3 linked regions of the Sus scrofa genome follow. The protein of the gene in region 1 purifies or fractionates together with the protein of each later gene. This does not show direct contact. Links are inferred from orthologs where the notes say so. Each region holds a gene or a part of one and is shown in the gene's direction. Other genes may lie near its edges.

Region 1 (4,958 bases):
GTAACCGTATCAACGGACGGCTGTTTCAGTGAAGAAGAATTCTGCTGCCTCCCTGCTCCACCCCACCATCTTCCTTCTTCCTCACATGGCTTGATGCCCCCAAATGTGGACCGCATTGCTGGGTGAATCAACAAAGACTTGGCAGCAGAGGATACCCACATTCATTTACATTCCTTGACAAAGGTCAGGATACCAACATACCCAAGATGGTCTCTGTCCACTAGGACTGTGCGGATAAACTCTACTTTTTTTTTTTTTTTTTAATGTATTAAGTACGAACCTATAGTGCATTAAGTGTGTTAAGCATGGTTTTCCTTTAAATTTCAGGTTAACTGATCCTATGAGGAAACATAAACCTCAAGAGATTAAGACCACTTGTCAGCCCGACTCCAAAGCCTGCTACGCTCACCCAAGATGTAGCCTGCCAGGCTGGCTCTGCAACCCTGGGCAGGGCCTTTCTCTGCTGGGAAAGTTCCCTATCTGTAAAGTGGTCATTATGGAGGGGGGGCTGGCGGTCTCCTGACTGCGCTCTGCCGAGGGAAGACCCTGGGTCTCCCGGACCACCTCTGAGGCTTTTCTAGGTGCTTTTTCAAAGGCTTCTTGGCCTCCCAGACAATGCAAACTCAGGCAAAGTGTGCTGGGGCTGTGGGTGAGGCAAACCCTGGCTTCTCAGGGGGTGTGGAAGGCAGAGAGGACCTTGGGGACAGAGGAAGGGCCTGTTAAGAGGGTGTGAAAGGCCAAGAGAGAGAGTGGTTAGGACATGCCACCAAAGCAGGAGGGAGGGAGTGCCTCAGCTGGCTGGGCTCCGAGCTGGCACCAGAGGCACTTTTGCAGAAGACAGGAACATGAGTCACCAGCTTCTCCCACACCCAGCACCCTGTTGGCAGGTGCCCCTCGGTTTGTTGAATGAATGTGGGGCTTAAATAGAAAGGTTCCTCAGAAAAGCAGGGAGAAAAGCAGCTGCCTTTCCAAGGGCACCGCCCTCAGCCAGGGCCTTTCCAACCAAGCCAAAGCCAGGAAGACGAGGGGCCAGCAGTAGGGAAATGCTCCCTCTCCCAGTCATGCTAACTCCTCTGCTCCAAACTAGTCTGCCCCTCTGCACAACATCAGAGCCTTGGTTTACATACTCCCTGGAGCGGGGACCTCAGTGCCTGCTAGGACAGTGCGTTTCTGGACAGCTTCACCAGGGCGATATCTGCCTCCCCACACACCCCATGGGGGACTCCTGTCTGAAGTCCCGTCCAACTCTCAAGTCCGCAAATGTGAGAATCCCAAAGGCGCAGGCGGGAACCGAGAAGGAAAGAAGGAGCTGCGCGGAGGCGCCGCACATAAGCGGACCCGGAGACAGAGCCACACCTCCAGAGGTTGCGTCTCTACCACCACGCGCCCCCGAGGAGGACGTGGACCACCGGGTGCTGACCGCACGTACGGACGACCTGGCTGCCCTGCCGGAAGGAGCGGACCCGGGAGCGAGAGGGAGGAAGGGCCGGCTGCACGGAGGCGGTTAGCCGCACAAGGGGCTACGGCGGGCGGCCGGGAGAGTGGACGAGGCAGCCTGGGTGTGGCCGGCGAAGCCGGGGACACTCACGTTCGCAGCCATGGCAGGATCCGGTCACCGCCCGCCTCACTCGGCTCAGCAAGAAAACGGACTTACGGCTGCACCACGGAATCCCGCCACCTCTCGACAGCCAGATGGCGGCCAAAAGGCGCGGGAAGCCCGGAGCCCTAGGATGCGCTACAGAGCAACGCCCCGCAAGCCGCGGTTTTTCTGCTCTCGCCCGCCGCGCCTCCTCCTGGGAAACGTAGTCTGGTGCCCTCTCCGGAAGTTGCAACCTACCCGGTACCTCACTGGTGCACCTGCGCATTGCAGGTCATTCTGGGAATTGCAGTTCCTTCTGTCTAGGGAGTTGCTCGGCGGCGCGCGGCCTGCTGGGAAATGTAGTTCCCGGTTGAGAAGGCCGGGCTAGGAGCTCCGAGGCAGGCGCGCGGAGGGCAGGCCTGGAGGGGGCGGGTCCGCACGGGCCTCCCAGCCGCCCGCCTCGCCGGGGAGAGGTCACGGCGTGAGGCAGCCACCGCGATCACCGCGAGGTTGGAGCGCCGGGCTGCACTATGGCCTACTGCCGGCAGGAAGGTAGGAGGGCGGGGTACCTAGAGACGGCCTACGAGGGCCTGCAGGGAACAGGCGGATTGTGCGGCCCCCGCGCCCCACCACTGGTGCGGAAGATAGTCCTCGGACCCTTGCGTCGGGTCTCCATCCCCGCTTTACAGATGGGCAGCGGGGAGAAGCGAGGCGGTCCAAGGTCACCGTGAGGCTCGAACCCGGACGTCTGAGGGACCACCACGTGAGAGAGCTCTTAAATTAGGCCTGGGGGTCGGAGGAGTGCGAGCGCGCTGCCGCTGGCTCCTAACGGAGAGTTTATAGGTATTAATTGTTACTATGGCGCTTACCCACACCACGTGTTCCGGTTTGCGCCGCCCGTCAACAGTCCTGGAAAGTCGCCCTCGGCGTGCTCTGTGCTGCGGCGTGGAGTACCGCCCGAGGGGACCGGTCAGGCGCTGGTGCGCCCTAAGCCAGGCCCTGTTCATTTCCCGAGAGTAAACAGCGACCCAGAGGTGACTAGGCTAATGCCATGATGCCGGCAAGTCCGGAAGCTGGGGTTGGACCCCCGCGGTCTGATTCCAGAGCTGCCCAGCCTGGTGACCAGTGGATTCCAGGGAGCCTTCCGTTGGGAAGACAACCCCCCAAAAAAACAAAACTAAATAGGTTTCTGTCTATGGTCTCTCTCCTTGTTACCTCTCCTGGAACCCCAGAAGTCTCCAGGCCAGGGGTTCGAGGGCCTCCGCGCACAACCGCTAACTGGCTCTTTGTCCCTGAGCTGTCACCCAGCCCCTCCAAGGCCCAGTGTTCAGTCTTGTAAAATGAGAAGTAGGCCTTCCTTCCTTCTCCACATATTCATGAAGCACCTTTTTAGTGCCAGGTGAGGGTGATGGTGAACACCTGAGACTTTAAAGCTCCAGAGAGAGCTGGAACTCTCCCTGAAATTCTTTAATGAATAGTCTAGCTCCCTCAGGTCATTGAGGGACCCTTAAGCCCAGAGATGGAGGTGATCTACCCAAGGTCATGCTTAGGTAGGAAAACAGCTCAATCTAAAATGCTAGGCCTTTCCCCCAGTACCCCATTCTGCTTCCAGAACCCTCCTTCCCTGGGTCATAAAGTCATAATACTCACGATGTCTCTAATGAGTGCTATTTTAATTGATTGATATTTAACTCTGCCTTGAGCAAAAGTCCTCTGCCCTCACCGCTTTGTTAGAGAGTAGGTCTCTTGTTTTTTATTGCCTTCTGAGTCTACTTTACTTCATCATTTAGCAATTTTTTTTTTTGAGCCTTGTGGGCTTAATGAGGCCATGCAGATAAACAGACCCTCCTTGTCCCTGAGGATTTCTGGAAGTCCAAGGCAGGTGTTTATCTACCACCAAATGGTAGGTCATATCTTTTCCTGGGTCAAAGATCTCTCTTAGTATTGGGGGTGAGAACTGAAAGCATTCATTTTTAGGCCTTCCCTAGTTTTTAATATTATCCATGCCATGGTCCCCTAAATCCTAAAAAACTTCTTTTCTACCTAGCAATTCTTTCTGTTTCCCATGGGACTTAGAGAAGTGATCCCAAACGCCTGATTGAGGGCTTGTGTGATGGAGCCCCCACCTGATCCGTCCCCAGCTGGTCTCTAATCACCCACTGCTGACCAGCCACACTGGCCTCAGCTGTTCCCTTTGCCTGGGTGCATCCTTCCTCCAGGTCTCTTCCCACGGCTGCCTCCTCATCCTTTAAGATTCAGCTTCTCAGTAAGGTCTTTCTTGACCCTTTGTGTCTTTCACTTCCTAAACTATGAAATTACCTGATTTGTTTTGGTCATCTTATTTCCTGTCTTCTAGCAGCATTTCCTGTCTTCTGAGAGCATTAGATGGGCCATACCCCTGGCACCTGGCACCTTTACCCAGTGAACCCGTGCATACGCTTTCCCTCTGTTCTAAGTGAATCACATTGACTTCAGGGGTGCCCTGCCCCTATCCCAGCCTTTGGAGTAAAGGCCTCAGCTGGGTGTTCAAGGTGTTGGGCAGTGTGGACCCAGACTAGCTCCCTGGCCATGGGTAGCACTGTTCTTTCTCTTCTAATGTTGACCCCGCTTCTGTTCAGCTAAACTTTATTGAGCACCTGTGAAGTACCAGCCACTGAGGCATGGCTTTGGTCATAGGTGGGCCATCTGCCCTCATGGTGTGGTGGGGGCTGGGGGGGGAACCTTCCTGGGTTGGATGTGCTGAGAGATTCTGATGTGTAAAGACCCACACGTGTCCTGGGGAAAATGAGACCACCCATCCAAGGGTTTTTTTCTCTAACCTGCTTCATGGTGATAACCTTTCTCTGCTGGGGCGGAGGTCTTCATGTTCGAACCCAGAGTTCAATTTCTCCATTCACGTCTTCAGCAAATACCGATTACCCACTATGTCTTGGGCACTGTTCTAGGCTCTGGAGGTGCTGCAATGAATGGAGCAGACATTTCAATTTCAGTGGGGGTGACAGGTGGTAAACAAATATGTAATTGTAAGGTGAGAAAAAGCAGGTAAATGGTGATGGGAAAGGATGAAGGAGGATGGCATCTGAGCAGGAGGTATGAAGGCAGGGAGAAGGTGGCTGAGAGGGGATCTCAGTGTGTTCCTAGGGGGCAGACAGCCTGTGCAAAGGCCCTGAGGTAGGCGTGTGCTCAGCACATTCAAGTAGAAGCAAGGAGATGCTGAGTGGAGGGAGAAGTGGGGAGAGGGGGTCATGAAGGTGAGGGATGCAGGTCCTTCTGGATGTGCTTGGAGGCAGAGCCAGCAGGATTGGATGAGGGAGGCATGAGAGGAAGATGGGAGTCGGGGACAGAGGCACAGAGTAAAACTGCAGAACTGGGGTGTCTT
Region 2 (4,986 bases), on another chromosome or scaffold:
CGCTTCCCTGGAGGGGAGATTTTCGGAGTGCCATCCAATCCTGGCATACAGCAGTTCTTCCCACCGTGGGAGCTGCCAGCTCTGTGTTGGAACTCACCTTACCCCATGCCTATGAGGGAGGGGCCAGCCTCCAAGAGGTCCCTCCAGGGAGGCACCCTGGCCTTGACAAAAGGCCTTTGTAAGTCTGTCCAAACAGCAGCTCCCCCCAAAGCCCTCAAACTTTCCCTGGTCTTGGCACAGACAATGAACACCTGTGGATACAGACCTAATTTTTTTTTTCTTTTTTTTTTTTTTCATTTGTGGCCACCTGGTGGCAGATGGAGCTCCCAGGTCATGGATCACATATGAGCTGCAGTCTCCACCTAAGCCGCAGCTGTGGCAATGCTGGATCTCTGACCCACTGTGACAGGCCAAAGATTGACCCCAAGTCCTAGGGCTCCCAAGACGCTGCCCATCCTGTCACACCACAGCGGGAGCACCAACAGAGGCCTATTTTTGCAAAGTGCCTTCAGTCTAGCTGTCACACTCTTGCCAGTCTCAGTGGGGGCCACTAGCCTGATAGGGTACAGGGTGGGACAGACCTGTTCCTGGGAAGAGAGAGAAGTTGGAGATGGGCAGTTTGCTCACACCAGGAACCTAAAAGGATGCTAAGCACTGCCCCCCCCCATGCCAACTGACAGCCCCTGCTCCACACCGCCAGCAATCTAGACGCCCTCCACTCCTCTCTCTCTATAACCCTACCCTGACGTCTCACCTGGACAACTGCAGCAGCCCCATCCTCCCCCAAAGCCTGTACTCCTCACTTGCTCCTGTGACATCCACTCCCCAGAGGCAGCTTGGCGACTGAGATCACACCAGAGTACCAGGCCCCAAATGTCCCAGCACATTCCCAGGGTCCTTGGAATAAATTGCCAGCGCCCATGGCCATTGATGAGGTCCCTGCTGGGCCCCTGGCCACCGCTGGATCTCTTCTGCCACCACCCTACCCAGGTCCTGTCCTGCTGGCCTTCCCACCCACACAAGAAGCAAAGATCCTCCTCGGCCTTGATTGCCCTTCTCAGTGATTCCTCATTCTTCAGGCCTCCGCCTAAGCGTCACCTCCTCAAGGAGGCCTCCCGCATTTACCTCGCCCCATTCATGCCCCCGAGCATTTATTAGTGTGACACCTTTTAGATTTTTGTTGTTTCCGTCTTGACCACACTGGATTATGGGTTGGGGAGGTCAGAAACTTTCGAATCTTTCTCCCGGCACCGCCCAGCGCCTAGAGCAGCTCTGAACAGATGAGGCACTACACAAATATTTGCGGAATGAATGAATGCACAGTTGGAAGCACAGGTATCCCTGAGGCCACTCCCGACGTGGGTTTAACCGCTTCAGGCAGGCTACAGGATTCGGGAGCGGGAGGGTCCGCTCCGTGCGCGCAGCCCAAACACGCACCGCCTCCTTTGCCGGCACCGCCTCACCCCGGGTTGCCAGTCACCCGTTGCCATGGCACCCGTCGCCAGGGCGGATCCGCAGGCTCAGCCCCGGCAGCATCGCCTCTGTGCGCTCACGGCCCCGCCCCATGTTGCCACAGCACCAAGCGCCAGCTCCCAGGACGCCCCCAGCCGAGGGCATAGGGCCTAGCAGCGGGCACGCGGGACGGTCAGAGCGGAGCGATGGGGGCATCGCGGGCCACGAAACGGACGTCGCCTCAGCCGCAGCCAGAGGCTACGGCACGGCCGCGCCGCTTCCACAACACGCTGGTCTTCTACTGGAGGAAGCGGGAGCGCCGCCACGGAGGACGCAAGTCGGGCTCGGGCCGCGGAACGAGGCCCAGGGCTGCGGCCAGGACTAGGATCTCCAACCCCGCACACACGCGGGCCCGGGCCGCCGACTCCAGCTCTGCTTCTTCCGGGTCGCGGGCCGCGGCCCCCGGCTCCGCCTCCACGCCGGACACCGGCCCAGGCCCCGCCCCCGACCCCGCCCCCGGCCCCAGCTCAGGCCCCGCGCCCGCGCCCGCGCCCGCGCCCGCGCCCGCGGCCCGGGCTCCCGGCTCCTGCGGCCGCGCCCTGGCGGCGGCGCGCGCCCTGGCCTGGAGACCGACTTGGAAGCCCATCTGGAGACCGAGCTGGCCCGGCAGGCATTGCGCGGGTAACATGGCGGCCCCCGGCGAGCGGGGCCGCTTTGGCGGGAACCTCTTCTCCTTCCTGCCCGGCGGCGCGCGCTCCGAGGTGGTGGATGACCTGGTGACGGACGCGCGCGGCCGGGGCGCCGGGCGGAGAGATGCCGCCGCTTCAGCCGGGATGCCCTCCCAAGCCCCGGCCTCGGATTCTCAGGTCGCCGAGGACGCCTCCCGGAGGCGGCCCTGCCGGGCCTGCGTGGACTTCAAGTCGTGGATGCGGACGCAGCAGAAGGTGCAGATGTCGCGTGGGGTTGGGGAGGCGCCTCCTTCCCGCAGAGGCCCGCGAGCCCTGCCGACTCCTAGCCCCGGCCCGCACACCATGTTGTCAAGCGCCCCGGGCAGAGTTCCCAAGACCCAGGCGGAGCACTCCTCCAGGCCCTAAGACTTTGCCCCCTTCCCCGGGGTTGAGGGGTGGCTGTCCCAAAGCCTAGCCCTTAAGGGAGGCCGGGCCTTTCGGCCCTTAGCCACTTGTTGGCCGGACCAGCCTCCTTAGGACTTAGGACAGACAGTAGGCCTCCGGCTAGGGCAGAAAAAATGGAGCTTTGTAGGTTTCCGGCGGGGGAACGGAGCTAACCCTTGGTCGGCCTCCTTCCACAGCGGGACAGCAAGTTTAGGGAAGATTGTCCTCCAGATCGCGAGGAACTCGGCCGCCACAGCTGGGCTGTACTCCACACCCTGGCTGCTTACTACCCCGACCTGCCCACCCCAGAACAGCAGCAAGATATGGCTCAGTTGGTAAATTTATTTTCCAAGTTTTACCCATGCGAGGAGTGTGCTGAAGACATAAGGAGGAGGTAAGTTGTGTGAGTCCTGGGTACCGCAGCCAGTCCCGCCGGGAGCCTGGGCCTGGCTGATGTCATAAAGGGAAGCCTAGAGAAATAAAGGCAGAGGTGGGAGAGGGTTGCCGAGAGCAGGGGCCAGCAGCAGATGAGGGATCTTGGATCATCTCCTTTCTCCTCGAGGGCCAAGCTGCCTGGGGCTTCTTCCGCCCCAGAACTCTGGGGAGCACTTCCCTCCTGAGATGCCTTGCTTAGCACTGCTGGAGGCTCTGGCAGGTGTGGAGGGCGCCGCTTTGCTACCTGCTGGAGCAGGACTGCCAATTTCAAGACCTTGGGAACTCACTGCTTTTGCTCCCGAGAGCCCCCTTTTCTCCATTGCGGAGCCCAAGAACTGTGGTGTGGCACCCATAGGCTGGGCTGGATTTGAGGGGCAGGGCAGCCCTTGCTGTTTGAAGCCTGGGCAGTTAGAACAAAGTCTCTTACTGAGCTGAGGCAGCAGGGCCGTGGGTGCTAAGAAGCAGATCTGGTGTTCAGTTATGCCTTTGTGCAGGTTCCATCCCTTCTGTACACTGCCTGGGGCCAAGGACGCAAGGGTGTGAGGCTTCCTGATTGTTTTGAGGCCATGAAGTCGAGGTCTGTGCCTTAATGTCTGGCCCAGGGTGCTTCTTTGAGTTTGCTGAGCTCCGCGGGTGAGGGTTTGAGCAGGCCCAGGTGTCTGGCAGGTCTTGCTGCTGCAGGGGCACTCCTGGTGTAGCCTCCCCCCGGCAAAGGTGCCAGCTCTCCTCCCTGAATTGGGCAGGCAAGGAGCTGGGGGGTGGGCACAGTGGGGGCACTGCCTGCCCCCATCCTCCGCGTGCTCCCACACACAGGATATGCCGGAACCAGCCAGACACACGCACCCGGGCACACTTCACCCAGTGGCTGTGCCGCCTGCACAACGAGGTGAACCGCAAGCTGGGCAAGCCGGAGTTTGACTGCTCGCAGGTGGACGAGCGCTGGCGAGACGGATGGAAGGACGGCTCCTGTGACTAGATGCCAGCCAGCCAGAGCATGTGCGCGGCCTGACCAGAGCGTGTGGGGCTCATTATTAAAAGTACATCAGAGCCAGAGCCTGTCTTGTCTCAGTTGGGTGGTCCCCAGACCCTGCCCATGGAGCCCTCTCTCAGGTTCAGAGTAGAAGTGGGGGTGCCCCCGACGGCCTCCCCCTCAACCCAGGCCCGAGGGCGCTGAAGGAGGCCAGGGCAGCCTAGGCTGTCCCTCCCTTTCCAGATTCGGCCTCCTGCTCACCTGACACCTGCTGCCAACTTAGGAAGGTGACCAGCCTGGCAGGGCTCCTCTGTCTTGCCAGGCCAGGCCCCTGTCCCCCACCGTGTAGCTAGGGACAGCTGGCATGGCTGCAGTGTCTTTAGCCCGGGGCCTGTGCGCTGCCAGTACTTCAGGAGAGAGGCCTGGGGGCTGAGCTCTGCTGCACACCTGCCGTGCCGCATGTGGCCTTGCTCAGCTGCACCAGGCCTGTCGAAGGCTTCTGTGGAGCTTGAGACCAAAATAAAATGCTGGAGAAGTGACTGAAGACCTGCCTTCGGTGTGTTTTGTGCTGGCGCTTGCGGTGATGGACGGGCCTGCCCTCGCTGCATGTAGTCTGCTGCCTCCTCCCATCTGAGTTCTGACTCCCGAGGAAGAGGGAGCTGTGCCATCGCAAGACTGGGCCAGGCTGTTCCGCGAACAGCAAGGAGGCCTCCTTTTTTTGTGTGTGTGTGTCTTTTTTTTTGTCTTTTTTTGCTGTTTCTTGGGCCGCTCCCGCGGCATATGGAGGTTCCCAGGCTAGGGGTCAAATCGGAGCTGTAGCCTCCAGCCCATGCCAGAGCCACAGCAACGTGGGATCTGAGCCGAGTCTGCAACCTACACCACAGCTTACGGCAATGCCGGATCGTTAACCCACTGAGCAAGGGCAGGGACCGAACCTGCAACCTCATGGTTCCTAGTTGGATTCGTTAACCACTGCGCCACGACGGGAACTCCAAGGAGGCCTCCTTGCTGGGTCTG
Region 3 (4,350 bases), on another chromosome or scaffold:
CGCGCTGACCCGCTCCAGCAGACTGAGCCTGTGTCTGGAGGGGGGTCCTGGCCGTGGAGCCCACAGAGCACACATGCACCCGCCCTCGCCCCGCCTCCCCAGGGCCGCCCTCTCCGGGGCACAGCTGTTCCATGGGCTCAGAGGAAAAGCCGCCAGGAGGACAAAGCACTGGCAAATCCCTGCTGCCCTCCCCTGCGGGCCTCTGCCCAGGCTGGGGCGAGGGCCTCCCCCACGTAATCGCCATGGCTGGCTGCTGGGGCCGAGGACGCCTCTCCTGGAAGGGGCCCTCAGACAACGGCTAAATACAGCACTACTCTGGCCACATACAAATAACTGCAGCTGCCTGAGTCATCGACGCATGTCGTGACTGCGACAGCAAGACTCCCGAGAAGTACAGGTTCTGTGTAATGGGCCACACCTCGGTCCAGCCCAAAGCCTAAAGCTGCACTGCTGCCCCTTCACTGAAAGGAACAAAACTGTCCCAAGTGGCCACTGAGAGCAGAGGGTCCACACGACAAGACCTGGCTGTGACACCAACAAAGTCCTCTCCTTTCAAAGGCCGCAAAAGCAACCTGTTCGCCCAGCCTGTCGGGCTCATCTCCTAACTTGTCTTAAAGACAGAAGAACAGCAAGCCCATCTTTCGCGAGTACAGGCAGGATAAACGTCATTCCCCCACCGCCACCCCGACAGGCTACAGAAGGCACAGCAGAGCGCTGTAGGGCCCAGAAAATTTGGGATCCTGTCGGTCTTAACGGAAGCAACGTGTGAAACCCTGAGCTAGTGTGAGTGACAAACACGCCTGTGACCAGGTGGAAAGGCATAAACTCCCAGCACAATGTTCCCGGAGCCCCTCCTGTGGCCATGTCCCTGACTTCCAGGACAGGTGACAGAGACCGCCCCCAGCCGGCTCGCCAGCTCTCTCCAGAGGAGCAAGCAGGAGCCAGGAGGAACAGGCAACGCAGGTGCAAGTACTCACAGGACTTGGCTGAGGTGGTGGAACTGCTCCAGCGCCTGGCGGCACCAGCACTGTTGCTTGTCACTGCCACACCCGGCGCACAGCGGGCTCTGCAGAAGGCGGTAGTACCGGCGACGGGCGTACCTGCTGTCCAACTCCCCCTCCAGTTCAGGATCTGTGCCCCCTTCCCCTTTTCTCTTACTCTGCATGTATACCCTCAAAAAGCGCCCATAGAGACGCTGGATCATCTCCTGGAAAGGTCTGGGGGTGGAAAAGAACAGGACGCCCCGCACGGTGGTGTGGACCTTTTCGCGAAGGCCCTGGGCACCAGTGCCCATGAGCAAGCCCAGGCGAGTCCACTTCTCCAGGAGCTCTAGACTCCGCAGGTAGGGATCCAGGCGGCTCTCCAGCAGACCGAAAGCATCGAGGAGCAGCAGAAGGCACTGGGGCTCGTCCGCGCAGTTCTCGCGCTGGGAGATGGTATTCCAGAACTCGAGGGCGATGCTGGCCTGCAGGTCATTCTGGAGCACCTCTACGAACCATTCCTCCAGGACCGAGTGCAGTCCGTGGCTCCTGAGAACCTCCACCGCCGCCCGGAGCTCCTCCTCCTTTGGAGGGACCGCGCCGCTGGTCCGGGAGGATGCCTGGATTACAGAAAACTGTGAGTGGAAGGAAACACCACGCAGAGATGGAGAAGACGGTTACTGGCAGGCAAAGGCGGGAAAGGCAGAGAGGAGGGGAGCCCACGGAAACGCCGCTGCGCTTCGTCGCAGGGATGCACGGCCGACTCTCGGAAAGGGCTGTCGAACCAGGAGGGAGTCTGGAGAAAAGCGGCACAGGGACCCGTAGAAACCCGAGGAGAGGCCGCGCAGGGTCCTGGGCACCCCACGCGGGCCCGCCGCCCTCTTCTCGGGCCTCACCAGTCCCAGTGCGGCCGGCGGCACCAGCCCGGTGCTCACGGTATTCCACGCTACCAGCAGCTCCTGGGCAGGCCCGGGGTCGTTCTGCTGCTCCGCCGCCGCCATCTGCGCCCACCAGCTCCCAGAGCCGCCCCGTGTGGCGCGGGGAGATGACGCAGGGCTGGGCGCGCGCGCGCGCGGCGGTGACGTAATCCGGGCCCGCCGGCAGGGATGCGGTAGCGGCGGTTGGAGCGGCCGGGACCCCGGACGGCCACCATGACCCAGCAGGGCGCGGCGCTGCAGAACTACAACAACGAGCTGGTCAAATGTGCGCGGCCGCGCGGCGGGGCTCCCTGGGCTGGCGGGGAGGGCGTGGCGTCGCCGGCCCGCAGGGCCCGGGCGGTGGTCGGCTCGCAGCGCGCGGCCGAGTGTGTTGTACAGTCCGTAAGCGGCTGTTCCTGTCCGGGCGGCGCCAGCGCCGTCGGACCTGCCCGACGCACAGCCCCGGTGTGGGGCCCGCCCCGGGCGCTTGGTATCTGTGGAGCGAGCGAAGGACAAGCGGCTTGAGCACGCACGGCCTCCCAGCCCCGCGCCGAGGGTTCTGGTGCGGTGCCTACTTTAACCCTGAGTCCCCCGGGACGTAAGACACTGGCCTGGCTCGGGCGGAAGGTGGTCCAGCCGGCAGCCGGTCCTCCGCTGCCTTTCTCTCTCCTACCGAGCAGCGGGCTTCAGAGTTGGGGGGTGGGGGGCGGTGCCTTCTTGCCTGCCCTGGGCCCACAGCCCCTGCCCCTCTCGGCCCACCCCAGGCATCGAGGAGCTGTGTCAGAAGCGGGAAGAGTTGTGTCGACAGATCCAGCAGGAGGAGGATGAGAAGCAGCGGCTGCAGAATGAAGTGAGGCAGCTGACCGAGAAGCTGGCCCGAGTCAACGAGAATCTGGCCCGAAAGATCGCCTCTCGTAACGAGTTTGATCGGACCATCGCGGAGACAGAGGCCGCCTACCTCAAGGTGGGACTTGGGGCCTGCATGTTGGGACAAGTCCCAGAAGGGCCCACCGACAGGCAGGCCGAGGGCCCACTGTGGAGTGACAGAGCAGCTGCTAGCGTGGCTTGGACGGTACTTCTTCCTGCGTAACTCCCTAAGACCAGCAGGAGCCAGAGCGACTCTGCAGGGAGCGTAGGGTAGACTCAGGAGGAAAAGGGCCCTGGCAGGGAAGGGCTGTGGGAGCTTCCCAGAGGGGGGATGGTGTAACCACTGGCGTTTCTGCTCCCAGATCCTGGAGAGCTCGCAGACTCTGCTTAGCGTTCTGAAGAGGGAAGCAGGGAACCTGACCAAGGCCACAGCTTCAGAACAGAAGAGCAGTGGAGGCAAGGATAGCTGACAAGGCCGCCGGCAGAGGGGCCCGCCTCCACCGCGCCCACCTAGGGCTTCGCCTCCAGCAAGTCTTCACGGCCTCTTTGTTCTTCACGGCAGCGGCTGCTTTCTCTCCTTGTTCTGGGTGCCGAGAGGCAGCTGCCAGCCACCACTGGCTCTGGGTGACAAGGAAGGCCTCGCTGCAGCCCACCAGCTGGGTGTCCTGGCCCTGTGCTCACACAGGTTCTGGGTCGGTCAGTTCTGCTCGGCCTCTGAGGGCCCCCCCACACCCCTGGGCTGCAGGGAAGACCCCGCTTCTAGTCTCGGCATCATGTCACCCTCACCTTATCACTTGGCCAGCAGGTGCCCAGGCAAGTGGGAAGGGGCCAGGGCCCTCCTTCACCTCAGAGCTGACCCTGGGGCCGTAACGTCAATAAAGGTTGTCTTTGTTAAGATACACGCCACCCTGCCGCCTGTGTCCTGGGTGGGGCTGCTGGCCACCCTAAGCCGGAACACAAACCCCTGCTCAGCTGTAGTGGGGCTCCTCTGTGAGCGGGCGAGGAGAGGGCCTGGCATGACTTTCCCTGTGACTGGCCTTGCTGGCCTTGGGGACCGCTAGGGGTGCCGCTAAGCATGTCCCGAGACGCTTGTCGCCCACCTTCCCCCTCAGAACTGCTGACCCCTTCCCCAAGCCCAGCACCCAGCCCAGCTTCAGGGAAGGCACTCTGGCCGTGGGCCGTGGTCTCGGCCTGGTGCAGGGAGACACTCTTCCTGGGGCCGGGTCCCCCGGCCAGGGATGCAGCCCAGCTCTGACTGCTGACTGCCCCACCCTCCCTGGTCACACTGCCTGGGGCCCAGCTCTCATCCCGAGTCCCCTCCGGGTCCCTCTCTCTTCACCTGTCTGTCCCTTTGGGGGTGGGGTGGAGGTTGGAGGTTGGGAAGCACGTGTTGTTGACCGAGTCTGGAGAAAGCTGGGCCCGCCGCTCCCAGGAAAGTGCCTTCCTCCAGCCCAGGCCTGGCCGGGGCGTCTCCCAGATGTGTCTCTCCAGGAGGAAAAGCCCTGCATTGGCTGCTGCACCGGGGTGGCCTGGCTCCCCAGGGCGGCCATCCTGCTCCCTGGGGGCAGTTCCATCCGCCACCTCTC

The links. Proteins that work in one complex are often made in the same cells at the same time.
Region 2: the proteins of CHCHD4 (region 1) and GFER purify together in Homo sapiens (co-immunoprecipitation; 3 studies listed by BioGRID and IntAct, with this or other methods). This does not show direct contact. The link is inferred for Sus scrofa from reciprocal best matches to the Homo sapiens genes CHCHD4 and GFER.
Region 3: the proteins of CHCHD4 (region 1) and SSNA1 purify together in Homo sapiens (co-immunoprecipitation; 3 studies listed by BioGRID and IntAct, with this or other methods). This does not show direct contact. The link is inferred for Sus scrofa from reciprocal best matches to the Homo sapiens genes CHCHD4 and SSNA1.

The regions. Positions count from the first base shown.
Region 1 is NC_010455.5:70,415,389-70,420,346, forward strand, and holds the start of CHCHD4 (mitochondrial intermembrane space import and assembly protein 40), read left to right. Parts: upstream 1-1,937; 5' UTR 1,938-2,109; coding exon 2,110-2,131; intron 2,132-4,958. Other genes in the region: TMEM43 (transmembrane protein 43), read right to left, coding at 1,589-1,600.
Region 2 is NC_010445.4:39,981,465-39,986,450, reverse strand, and holds GFER (FAD-linked sulfhydryl oxidase ALR), read left to right. Parts: upstream 1-1,999; 5' UTR 2,000-2,138; coding exon 2,139-2,396; intron 2,397-2,761; coding exon 2,762-2,958; intron 2,959-3,812; coding exon 3,813-3,975; 3' UTR 3,976-4,513; downstream 4,514-4,986.
Region 3 is NW_018084833.1:710,198-714,547, reverse strand, and holds SSNA1 (Sjoegren syndrome nuclear autoantigen 1), read left to right. Parts: upstream 1-2,045; 5' UTR 2,046-2,131; coding exon 2,132-2,183; intron 2,184-2,661; coding exon 2,662-2,861; intron 2,862-3,126; coding exon 3,127-3,234; 3' UTR 3,235-3,663; downstream 3,664-4,350. Other genes in the region: ANAPC2 (anaphase-promoting complex subunit 2), read right to left, coding at 1-34, 978-1,600, 1,877-1,981. UniProt on the Homo sapiens protein: Microtubule-binding protein which stabilizes dynamic microtubules by slowing growth and shrinkage at both plus and minus ends and serves as a sensor of microtubule damage, protecting microtubules from the microtubule-severing enzyme SPAST.